Macaca mulatta: one gene and its partners. The protein of the gene in region 2 interacts with the protein of the main gene of each other region in a pairwise test. Links are inferred from orthologs where the notes say so. Each region holds a gene or a part of one and is shown on either strand. Other genes may lie near its edges.

What was found.
Region 1: the proteins of HMBOX1 (region 2) and KAT5 interact in binary tests that used the Homo sapiens proteins (3 or more experiments, as listed by UniProt). The two-hybrid records come from large-scale screens. The link is inferred for Macaca mulatta from reciprocal best matches to the Homo sapiens genes HMBOX1 and KAT5.
Region 3: the proteins of HMBOX1 (region 2) and C8H8orf33 interact in binary tests that used the Homo sapiens proteins (3 or more experiments, as listed by UniProt). The two-hybrid records come from large-scale screens. The link is inferred for Macaca mulatta from reciprocal best matches to the Homo sapiens genes HMBOX1 and C8orf33.

The regions. Positions count from the first base shown.
Region 1 is NC_133419.1:8,673,669-8,677,293, forward strand, and holds the end of KAT5 (histone acetyltransferase KAT5), read right to left. Parts: intron 3,512-3,625; coding exon 3,371-3,511; intron 3,290-3,370; coding exon 3,196-3,289; intron 2,547-3,195; exon of another isoform or gene 1,578-2,546; coding exon 1,418-1,577; exon of another isoform or gene 1,289-1,417; coding exon 1,207-1,288; exon of another isoform or gene 1,113-1,206; coding exon 978-1,112; 3' UTR 565-977; downstream 1-564. Other genes in the region: RNASEH2C (ribonuclease H2 subunit C), read left to right, coding at 8-127, 364-390. UniProt on the Homo sapiens protein: Catalytic subunit of the NuA4 histone acetyltransferase complex, a multiprotein complex involved in transcriptional activation of select genes principally by acetylation of nucleosomal histones H2A and H4.
Region 2 is NC_133413.1:30,643,716-30,647,460, reverse strand, and holds the start of HMBOX1 (homeobox-containing protein 1), read right to left. Parts: upstream 2,448-3,745; 5' UTR 2,164-2,447; intron 1,773-2,163; exon of another isoform or gene 1,357-1,772; intron 1-1,356. Other genes in the region: INTS9 (integrator complex subunit 9), read left to right, coding at 2,949-2,957. UniProt on the Homo sapiens protein: Binds directly to 5'-TTAGGG-3' repeats in telomeric DNA. Associates with the telomerase complex at sites of active telomere processing and positively regulates telomere elongation.
Region 3 is NC_133413.1:155,452,321-155,456,035, forward strand, and holds C8H8orf33 (UPF0488 protein C8orf33), read left to right. Parts: upstream 1-1,236; 5' UTR 1,237-1,259; coding exon 1,260-1,265; intron 1,266-1,353; coding exon 1,354-1,704; intron 1,705-1,831; coding exon 1,832-1,916; intron 1,917-2,065; coding exon 2,066-2,212; intron 2,213-2,783; coding exon 2,784-2,923; 3' UTR 2,924-3,188; downstream 3,189-3,715.

The DNA of each region.
Region 1 (3,625 bases), on a different chromosome or scaffold from region 2:
TCCTCAGGACCGCTTCATTGGAGCCACTGCCAGCTTCAGCCACTTCACCTTGTGGGGTCTGGAGACCATCCCTGGCCCGGATGCCAAAGTGCGTGGGGCCCTAACTTGGCCCAGTCTTGCGGCAGCGGTGAGTAGATGAGGAGTTCCGTCTTGTCCCCGGGTGGATGGGCTGTGGAGCACAATTGGGCAGACGAAGCCTGGAGGATTCTACTGGGTAGTGCGTGGGAAGCGTAGCTCCCCGACCACTCTTCCTAGCCATGTCTAGAAGGGGTTATTCTGAACAGCTGGGTCCTTCCCCGGGTCTGGGGGCCAGCCTGCCGCCCTGCCTTACAAGTCCAACAGTAGAGGCGACTCCTCTTGCAGATTCACGCACAGGTGCCCGAGGACTGAGAACCAGAGCTTGAAATTCAAAGCTGCGATCCCTTCACAGCAGTAAACCAGCTCTTTGGAACCACTGATTCCATCACCCCAATAAAGGAGCTCTTTACAGCACCTGTGAGTCCGGGCACCTTAGAGCCCCTAAGCCAGCATGGACCCCTCTCCCCCAAGAACCTTGCATGGCTCTGGCATATAGAAACAATTTATTGCCGTGGGCAATGGGGATAAGAGAAGCCAGAATTTTTTGCAGCCAGCACCCACCCCACCCCCAACTTCTACTTTACAAAAGAAATTTTTACAACCACCAGCCCTCTGTACAGAGCTCCCCCACCCCCCATCTCACTGTACACAGCTGCCTGGCTCCCTCTGATCCCTGGTTCAGAGCAGGCCTGGGCCTGTGGCCAGCTGACCTTGGAGTTAGCCTGAGCCCTGAGCTCGCCTTGGTGCCGGGCACCAATGGGCCCTGCCAGGCCTGTCCCCTCCTTTTCGAGCTTTTCAGCCCCATCTCCCTTAGAGTGCTTTGTGGGAGCTGCAGTGAGGGCGGGGTGGGCTATCAGCCCCAGTCCTGCTGTCTTAGCACTGCAGTGGGCAGTGCCTGGTCACCACTTCCCCCTCTTGCTCCAGTCCTTGGGAGTGAAGTGCAGACACTTGGAGTCAATCCGCAGGAGCCGCTTGAGCATAGCCCGCTCATGGCCATCCACGATGTCCTCTGACAGTGTGAGGATGTACTGGCCCTGGGCAGAGGAGATGGGTTCAGCAAGTGGCCAGCGGACAGGGGCCTGCACTCTGCATCCCACACACCTGTCTCCACCCTGCCTGCCTCCCTACCTTGTAGTAGTTGATGAGATTGAGGTACTGCAGAGTGGAGATGACATCCTCCTTCTTGATGCTGGTGATTTCACTGATCTCACTGTAGGAGAGCAAAGGTCAGGTCCCCTGAGGACCTTCATCTGTCCCCAGGAGCCCCAGGAGAGAGTGAGAAAGCCCAGGAACAGACAGGCCATGCCATGTACCCCCAGGTAGGCAGCGCCAGGCTCACTTGATGGTGATCTGTGGCCTCTCCCCGCTCTCTGACTTCAGCCCCATCAGGATCTCCAGGATGGTCTGGGACCAGTAACTTCGATAGGATAGGAGGCCAAGGTCTGAGAGGGGCTTCTCAGGGGTCCCTGTTTTCCCTTCCACTTTGGAGAGTTCATAGCCTAAAGCAATGGAGCAGGAGAGGGTGAGTAAGAGGTCATAGATGAACATAAGCAACATTTAAAAACACAGGTCGCCAAGGCAGGCTGCCTAGTTCCCATCATGGCCCTGCCACTTGGCAGTTCTGTGGCCTCCGCCTCTCTGCGCCTCAGTTCCCTCAGGAAGAACTAACGAGTATTCACTCTTCCCCTGGGAGTTGAGCACAGTGGAGGGCATGAGAGCACTGAGAGGAGCAGCTGCAGTCAACCACGAGGGTGATCAGAGGCCAGTGAAGGCTTATGGGCAGGGGATGCAGGGAAAATGGCTCAGGGGAAGAAAGTGCCTCCAATTTTCCTTTGCCATCCCAGGCTCCATGTCTGGGCATGTAAGGAAGGAAGTGGGGACAGATTCCTGTCTCTAATCCAGGCCTGAGAATGCTTGAATTCTCAGTCAAATCAGTCCTCCTAGCTGGGATCTTGGGAGTGTCAGCTGCTGTTAAGACCTGAGTGGCCTGACTGGGTGGTTGTGAGGATGCAAGGAGAAAAGGTGCACCAAAGTGCTTCCCAAGTTGGGGAGACCATTCCTGAGAGCCAGGTGACTGACCCCCACCATGGCTGTTTCCCTCCAACTCCTGCTGATAGCTGCGCACTGGGAGGCAGTCCCCAGTGAGATCCTGGCCCTGCACAGCCCTGAGTGGCTTCACATCTCTTGGGCAGTGTCTTCATTCTCCCCACCAGGGACCTGGGATGTTTGTGACTTCTAGAAGCCCTTCCTCACCCTCACAATGGACCTTAGCCCCTTGGTAGTCCCACCCACATCCCATCTCCATTGCAGTCTGAGCTCCAAGACTGAGTTTCTTCAAGCATCCACTTGTGCTACCAGGCTGAGAAGTTCTGAGGATGTGACCCCATCTGGGCATCACTTAACCAATACATTTCTCGAATGGACCATAACCTTGATCAAGTAAAGCCTCTGTGTCTTCACCAGGCAAACAGCTAGAACTTCCTCTTCTTTTCTCAGGTCAGAGCTTAGTTATTCCAAGTGAGTGGTGAGATAGAATGCGGGGTGATGGGGAAGAGGCTGAGAAGGAGAAGGAGCCTCAGGGTTGGGGAGGGCACTGAAGAGCTCATGTGTGATGAAGGTCAGAGTCCCTTCTGGCTTTAAGAGACTGACCTCACTGGACACGAGGAGCAAGGGAGAATTCCATGCTTACGTGTATCTGTTGACAGCATTTTGGACACCTGCCTGCACGGCTCAGGCGACAACTGGGGACATTAACCACTGGTCCTTGCCCAAGGACTTGTATCATGTGACACCGGTTACCAGATACATGAGCACCAGCGGCTCACTAACCTGCCCATGGCTCCAGGCAGGAGCATGTAAGTCAGATTTGGGGAAAGCTGAGTGGCACTTAGAACCCTGGCCAAGGAGCAAACTGTGGGGCTGAGAACCTACCCCAGATAAGCAGGGCAGTCAGCCTGAATGGAGAGAACTCTGGGAGAGTGCCACTGTTATTTCTGGCTGGCTCCCCTAGAGACCGGGCTGCACAGCCACGGTTGAGAATCACGGTAGCCTGGCACATCTGCCTATGGGGCACCGATGATGGGTGCACTACCCCCTGGCTGCAGCACACATACTCACTGAACTCGATCAGCAGCTTGCCGTAGCCCCGGCGCTGGTAGGGAGGCAGGGTTAGGATGCAGGCCACATTGTAGTCTTCTGTCGATTCTTTCTCCTGGAAAAGGGGGGCAGGTGAGTGTCAGGGAAGGGACCTGGCTCAGGATAGGGCACAGGGACAGCCTGGACAGGCACTGACCTTGGAGAAGTAGCCCACGATGTGGAAGCCCTTACAGTCATACTCCGTCATGACGTAGAAGAGGAAAGGGTCTGTGTCATAGTACAGTGTCTTATGGTCAAGGAAACACTTGGCCAAAAGACACAGGTTCTGGGAATAACTCTGCAAGAGAAAAGGCTTGTCACCATTCTGGGTATCCTGCCTTGAGCCTGGCCAGTGGTTCAGGGTCAACCAGGAGCTTCACTGTTTGTGCTATGCCCCAGACTGATAGGTGAT
Region 2 (3,745 bases):
ATTCTGAAAATCCTGGTCTATCACAAACTAATGGCTTAGTTTGGAATCAACATATTGTATATTCTACATCTGAAGATTTAGAAATCACAGTTTTTTTCTATTCAGGTCAATTGAAGTATACATGCTACCTCATTCTTTCAGTCCCCCTTATCTGTGTGAATGACCAACAGCAAAAATTTCAAATAAATGGTTAGAGGACATACCATAAAATTATACACTATCAATGTGGTTTTCAGTTATCATAGAATCTAAAGGTCCCTTACTGATGATAGGTGGCAGATTCAATAATTGATAAGTTTGGGGAATATATTCAACTCTCAACAGTTGAAATAGAAATTATGCCAATTTCTTTATTTTAAAAATCCGTTACACTAAAAAAATTGTCACATAAGAATTATTGAAGAAATTAACAAGGAAGTACAAAATATGTGATCTTAAATTCTTCTAGTGTGTTATTAAATATTAAAAACTGTGAGAAATATATTGCAATCCTTTTCTTTTTAACTCTAATTGAAATTTGAAAAAAATTTAGAATTCAAATTTCCCAACTTTGACTTAGAAACATAATTCAACTAGATCAAGCAACTTAATTGTACAATTTTAAAATAAGTTTAATGCAAAGCACTGCAATCCTGATGTGATAATTACCTGCAGCATAAATGCAAAATAATAAATGCATTTAATGATGCATTTTATGGTAAAACCACAAAAAGCACAACCATATTAGCACAAACTAAACAAAAAGACACAGGCGGTATTACGTCCATCAGAATGAGAAATGTCGTACTAAGCCAAGAAAGAAAGGAAGGACTTAAGGAAGGAAGGAGGGAGGATAGGAAGGAAGGAAGAGGGAAGGAAGGAAGAGGGAAGCCAGAGGTTTCTATACCTGCAGGATCCCAGAGAAATGAGCTAGTCACATCACTCTACCCTATATGATACATGGGTGATTTTTTTTAAGCTTCAGTGTAAATAAAAGCAGTAATCACTTTATACCATTCAACTTTACACAGTGTTATCTTTAATGCCAACTGCATTCTTCCCTTTACTCACCCAATGCTTCTTCACTGTTCCATTCCACCAGCTTTCAGGCAAATGCAAGACAGAACAGGGTGGAGTAGAAGAAAAATACAAGCAGCGCCTTTCCGCGCACCCCCTCTCCCGCAAATAATTTCCAACAGTTCTTCCTACTACGAAAATAAGTCGCCCTATCTCAAGATACACAGCAGACATTCCGTCTCTTTAGTAGACATACACAGACGCGTACACAATCCAGCACTCCCGACCCCCACCCCAGGCCCCCCCGAATCTTCAGCAATTATTCATCTAATCACACGAAGACAAGATACCTCTACCTACGGTTTCGGGGTGAAGGTGGGTGGAGGACGCCTTTCAAAGTAGCCCCAATAGTGTAACCAAAACACGGTTCCGGAATAAAATATTAAGAAACACTTTTCCTTTCCCACCTATCTACCGACTTGAGGATGCAAAAAACCCATCTCCACATCACACCATCTCTACAGTTCTCGTGGCTGGAGTTTGGGGTGGAGATTCGTCCAGGGGAGGGGGCGGAGGCGAGTGGCGGAGTGTGAGCGGGCGACGGGACACGAGCGAGTTGCTAAGCCCGGCTGCCCCGCACCACGTCGCCAGCCCAAATGCCCAGCACCAGGACCTCACGCCCGCCCCTCAGCCCAGGCCCAGAGCGAGCGAGGACTCGCGCTGTCTAACTTCTCATCTACAGACACCGCTCCAAAACAAGCAGAGCACACAAGTACACGTCACACAGTTTAAACACACTTCCACACCCCAAACAAACCAACACACCTGCAAATCACCTCACAGTTTCTCGAACTCCACACCAGAGACCCCACCTCCAGGATTCAAACCTTCCGCTCGTAGTAGAGGAAACCAGAAGAGTTGGGGGGCAGTCGACGCCTTTCCAGGACCGGCCCCCACGAACTGCCCCACCCCACAGCCCGCGTCTGGATCACCCACTCGGAAGCCCCCTGCTTCCTCCCTCCTCTCAATCCGGCCGCTAACGAGACCCATCCCCAGCGTCCGCTCACTTCCTCCCCAAAACCCCTCCAAAAAAAATTGTTTTAAATGAAGAGAAAGAAGTGAGGAAAGAGACTTGAGGTTGTCCGGCTTCAAAACCGCTCGACTCACCTCAGAATCCTCGCTGAGTTCTCTCCGCCCGGCAGAGCCCCCTCCCCAACGTCCCAGTACGAAGGGCTGAGGTAGGGAGGAGGGAAAACGGGAGGGGGAGGGGTGTCTTCCGCGTGGGGCGCCCGTCGGGAGGGGACTGGGGAGGGGTTGAGGCCGGCGCAGGAAGAGGAGAAGGGGGAGGGGAGGCCCCTATCTCCCAGTCTCCCCCTGAAAAACCTCCCTTGTCTCAATCACATCAGACTGACTGTCTTTGTCTGGCTGACAACCGCCATATTGATATCAACAGCCCCGCTCCCACCTGCTGCCGCCCGGCGTCCCTGGGAGTTGTAGTTCCTGCCTCCCCCGAGTAAAAGCGCGGAGCCCGGCGCCTAGAGGCCCAAGAGAACTACAACTCCCGGCAAGCCCCGTGCCCATCCGCCTTCCCTTTGGGAGGAGGGGAAAGGGGACCCGGAGCCGTCGGGACTACACATCCCAGAACACCATGGGCTCCAGGCGCGTAATGGGGACATGATATCATGCTGGGGTGGAGAGGGCGGCGGGGATGAATTTGAGCTGACGGAAGGAGGCGTCCGCAGAGGAAACGGAGGAAAAGGAAAGGCGACCACAGTTCCCATGGTGCCTGGAGGGGAGACTACATTTCCTATGATTCCCCTGGAAGGGACGTGAGAATGAAAGACTGCAAGTCCCGCGATGCTCTGGGCTGGCAGGTGGCGGAGATTGCACCGGAAGACGCTTCCTGCGTTTGAGGAGTTCAGTGACTGCTATTGAACCACCAAAAGTCCATTATGAAACTGGTGAGTCTTCGCTCCTAGGTCAGAGGGCAAAGTTGATGCTATATCCTTTTGGACCTCTTTTTTTCCTACTTTGGGCAGGGAATCGTCACACAGGAGGGGTAGCAATTAAGTAGCTGGAAAGTGGAGTGGGCTAAAGAAAGCTGCTTTTTGTTGTTAAGAAGGCTTGAATTCCCTCTCCCGCCCCCCTATCCCTCCCAGGAGGTCTTCTTTCACTCGTTGGTGGGTCTTTTTGTTCAGACAAGACGTTGACTCGGTCACAGTCCTTCCCCTATGAACTCTGTGGGCTCTGTTAACCAGGTTTGGACGTCCTGGCTCCCACGTTAGGGTTATAATAGGCTGTTAACAACCCCTTTCCATTCGACTGGCGCTTGAGTAGCCTGTCTCCCTACTGTTGTTGAAACTTTGGCTAGATTTAAGCAGACAGTAAAAAAAACATTCGGCAGAACGTAATCACTTATTAAATATCCTGTTGTATAGACTCCTCACTGCCCTTGGTATTAAGGACGAGGTCAGAGTGTGGAGAAGTTGAGTCTTAAACCCTAACTGGGATTTAGATGGGGAGAGAAGTGTTATATGGTATTCCATTCTAAGACTGTAGGGACTGCATGAGCCAAGTCTGGATGAAGTGTGCCGGTATACCTGAAGTCTTAACATCACACAACTCAAGCACCTGGCTCATAGAGACTTCTCAAACCTTTGATTTGAGCCATTTGACTCATTGTGCATACAGGTCTGACTAGTTTATTCCAACTCGATTCAATTAGTAATAACATAGTGTAGAAAGGCAG
Region 3 (3,715 bases), about 120 Mb from region 2:
CACCACTTTCCACTCCTGTGTCCCCGACAGGAATCATCAGACAAGTCGAACTCTCACCTTCTCAAGCAACACAACCCACCCTCCTGGCCTAGCCCACTCCTGAAGCCTCACTCAGTCTCACCTCAGCCCCTACGCAATTCCTCTCGGTTGTCAGGCCTCCATCGGCGGGGGTCGAGTGTTGTGTGTGACCCCAGGTCTCCAGCAAGGTATAGTGGGAGGGAAGCATCCGGGAGAAGAGAGGTGGATTGGGCTCTCCCTCTCCCCCATACCGCCACCCTCCCTCACGCCCATATCCTGTCCAAGGCTCTTCCCGCGTCTGCTTCTGAAATCCCTCCACATCCCTCCACCCCATGTGCCCCACTCGTTGCACAGGAGCAGAGAGAACCGCAGAACACACGTCTACGATTATGCCACTCTTCAGATTTACATCTTGCAGCAACTTCCCACTGCGTTAGAACGGAAGTAAACCTCCCAACTCACAGACCTCACCCGAGCCCCCACGTCCCGCGTCGCCGGCCTCTCAACCGACGGTGCCCTGATCCTCTCGGAGCGAGCGCCGCGGGCTGCGCCGGGTCCCAGGCCTGCGCCTCTTCCCCATTTCCCAGGGGTCTTTGCCGACCACCCTCCTGCGCCACAGCTGCTCAAGTTCTGTTTACTTGCTTTTCCCTCCCCACCAAAAGGTGAGCCTTGAGAAGACACACCCTTGTGTAGAGCTTTGAACTTTTATCCGGAAAGGTGCCGGGCACATAGTCGGTGCCCGGGAGCACTTGCTCACAAGGTTCCTTCCGAGACCGCCCTGCAGCCTCTTTCCGGATCCCCCAGGCACCCCCGACCCCGGCCTCGCCCCACCCTACCCTCGCCCCAGCCCCGCCCTGCCCTCGCCCCAGCCCCCCCCTGCCCTCGCCCCAGCCCCGCCCCGACCCTGTCTCAGCTTCGCCTCGGCTTCATCCCGCCCCAGCCTCGCCCAGCCCCTCCTCTCCCCTCCCCGCCCGTCCCCTTCCCGCCCCCGCCCCGCCTAGCCCCGCCCCAGCCCCGTCCCAGCTTCGCCTGAGCCAGGTCCCAGCCCCGTCCCACCATCGCCGCGCCCCAGCTTCATCCCGCCCCAGCCTCGCCCCTTCCTCTCAGGGCCCCCGCGCCCCGCCCCGCCCCGCCCCGCCCCGCCCGCGACCCTGCGGAACCTAGAGTCGCAGGCGCCCTCTTGGAGGACGGAATTCGACGTCGGACTCCGCCTCGCGTAGTTCCGGTGGCGACTGCGGAGCATGGCGGTGAGCGGTGTGGAGAAGACGCGCGGGTGGCTGGGCGTCGCACTGTCGGTGGCCCTCCGTGACCCTCGTGCTGCCCCCCTTTCTCCAGGCCCTAGGACATCTTGCCGGGGAGGCAGCGGCGGCCCCAGGCCCGGGTACTCCCTGCGCGTCCCGCAGACACCGGCTTCCCGGCCTGGTTTCCAGCGTCCGGAATCCCTCCACTGTCTGTCTCTGCCCAGGGCAACCCACGAGCAGTAACGCCGACACCAGAGCGCACCCGTTAGGCGATGAAGGCAGTGCAGCGTCGAAAAAACAAAAGAATAAGAAGAAAACCCGGAACAGGGCCTCTGTGGCAAATGGAGGCGAGAAGGCCTCAGAGAAACCCGCCCCAGAAGAAGTGCCCCTAAGCGCTGAGGCCCAGGCAAGGGCGGGCGTCATTCAGGAAGGGTGGAATCCCCTAGTGCGAATCCACGGGCACATGTGATCTGGGGTCCGCAGAGTTAAGGCGGGGAGGGGGATGGGATGGGGCCAGGCGCAGTTTTGTGTCCCAGTGCCCTCTCACAGCCACTTCCCCAAATCCCTCACAGGCGCAGCAGTTGGCCCAGGAATTGGCTTGGTGTGTGGAACAACTGGAGCTTGGCCTCAAGAGGCAGAAACCCACCCCAAAACAGAGTAAGGGACCTTTCTATAGAGTTGGGGAATGTGAACAGTGGCACCGCCTGGCCTGCAGGTGCTGGCAGAGGTGAAGTTGTTTCCTTTGCGGTGGGGCGGTAGGAGGTCAGTAGTAGAGGTTTTCACTAGTCCTTTGTTTTTATTCGCAGAAGAGCAGGCTATTGGAGCAATCCGAACCCTGCGCAGCAAAAGAACGCCCCTGCCCCGGAAGAGGCAGTTGATGCACTCCTTGTTTGGAGACTATAGGGCTCAGATGGAAGCCGAATGGCGTGAGGCCCTGCGGGCTCTCAGATCTGGTGAGGAGCTAGTAACTGGTTGATTTAGGAAGGCCTAATTTAAGGAGGAAGTGCCTAGGGGGTGAAAGGAAGAAGGCCCAGAGCAACAAGGCTGGTGGGGGAAGGAGATGAGCTCAGGGAAGCCTGAGGGAACAGGGAAAGAGTAAGGATGGACCTGTCTCTCCTTTTCCCAGGACTGAACCTGGGAAGCAGCGGGGAGGTCATGGGAGGAGCGGGAAAGAGTGTGACCCTGTGTTGGTCCTGCTCCTGGCTTGGGGAAAGCTGCGTTATGTCTTTGTGTCTTGGCTCTCTCTACTGGCAACGAAGCCATATCCCATAACAGTTTGAGTGCAATTCCTGGAGCCAGATGAGCTAGGTTCAAATCCTGGATCTACCACATAGTAGTACTAACACCTTTTGCAAACTACTGAACCTCTCTAAATGGGCGGTGATAGTAATATCAACCTTACAAATTTGAGGAATTAGTTAATTTATTCAAAGTGGTTAGAATTGTATGGGCAAACATAACTGTACAGGTAATGTTAGCTGTTGTTATTCAGTTCTCACATACGCTGCTTCTCTCCCCTGACAGCTGCTTATTTAGCCCAGGTGCAGCCTGTAGATGGAGCCACCAGAAAGAAGAGCCGAAGGGTCTGCAGGCCTCGCCCTATAGGGCGAGCCAAAGCCACTCTGGACACTCCTGATGAAGAGTTTAGGTTCAATTTCTTTTAGCTTCTCCCCTGACCTGGAACATTCCCCCTCCCTTGGGGTGGTGTAGGGGTTTGTTTTGAGTGCAGAGCCTTTTCAGGACTTCTGTTGGGAGAGAACCCTGGGGTTGGTCTGTCCCTGGCTGGTCCAAGTATTTGGAGCTGTTGTGAAGGTGTGAGACCATCAGATAGGCAAAAGACCCCATTTGTTTTGTGATGAAATGTTCTCTCTTTCAGAACAGAGAGAGAGGTGCGTTTAGAAAATGTACAATAAATTGAAGTGACTGTTTGAAGTATTGTAGAAAGAATATTGTACTCAGTCTTTAGGATTAGATTAAGTGGCTGTTGGTAACAAAGATTAGTGGAGAAGCTATATAATTATACACTGTTTTTCACTTTTGAAAGGAATTCCTGTCAAATGGTTTAGTGCTTAATGCTGTTATGTCACATTGCCCTAGTCTTTATTTTTGATAAAATTGGATAACGAGTGAAAGAGTGTGCTGACCAGCTGTGTTAGAGGAAGTACAGAAGACGGCAGGGGTCTGGTTCCCTGGGTCCAGTCCCTTGCCTCGATCCTTTGTCCATGTTGCCTTCATTCCTGAGCAGGTGTCATCCTCAGGGAACCAGCATGGCAGCCACCAGGCATGGCTGTCTTCTCAGGAGGAAGGAGCTTCTTGCCCTAACAGTTCTGGCCTGAGACCTGGATTGAGCCTCGGCATGTTGGAACCGAACTGTTGATTCCCTCCTGGGCAGGGGTTGCCGCGAAGGATTACCGACACGAGATTCACAGCAGAGAGTTATCTATTACTAGCGCGCT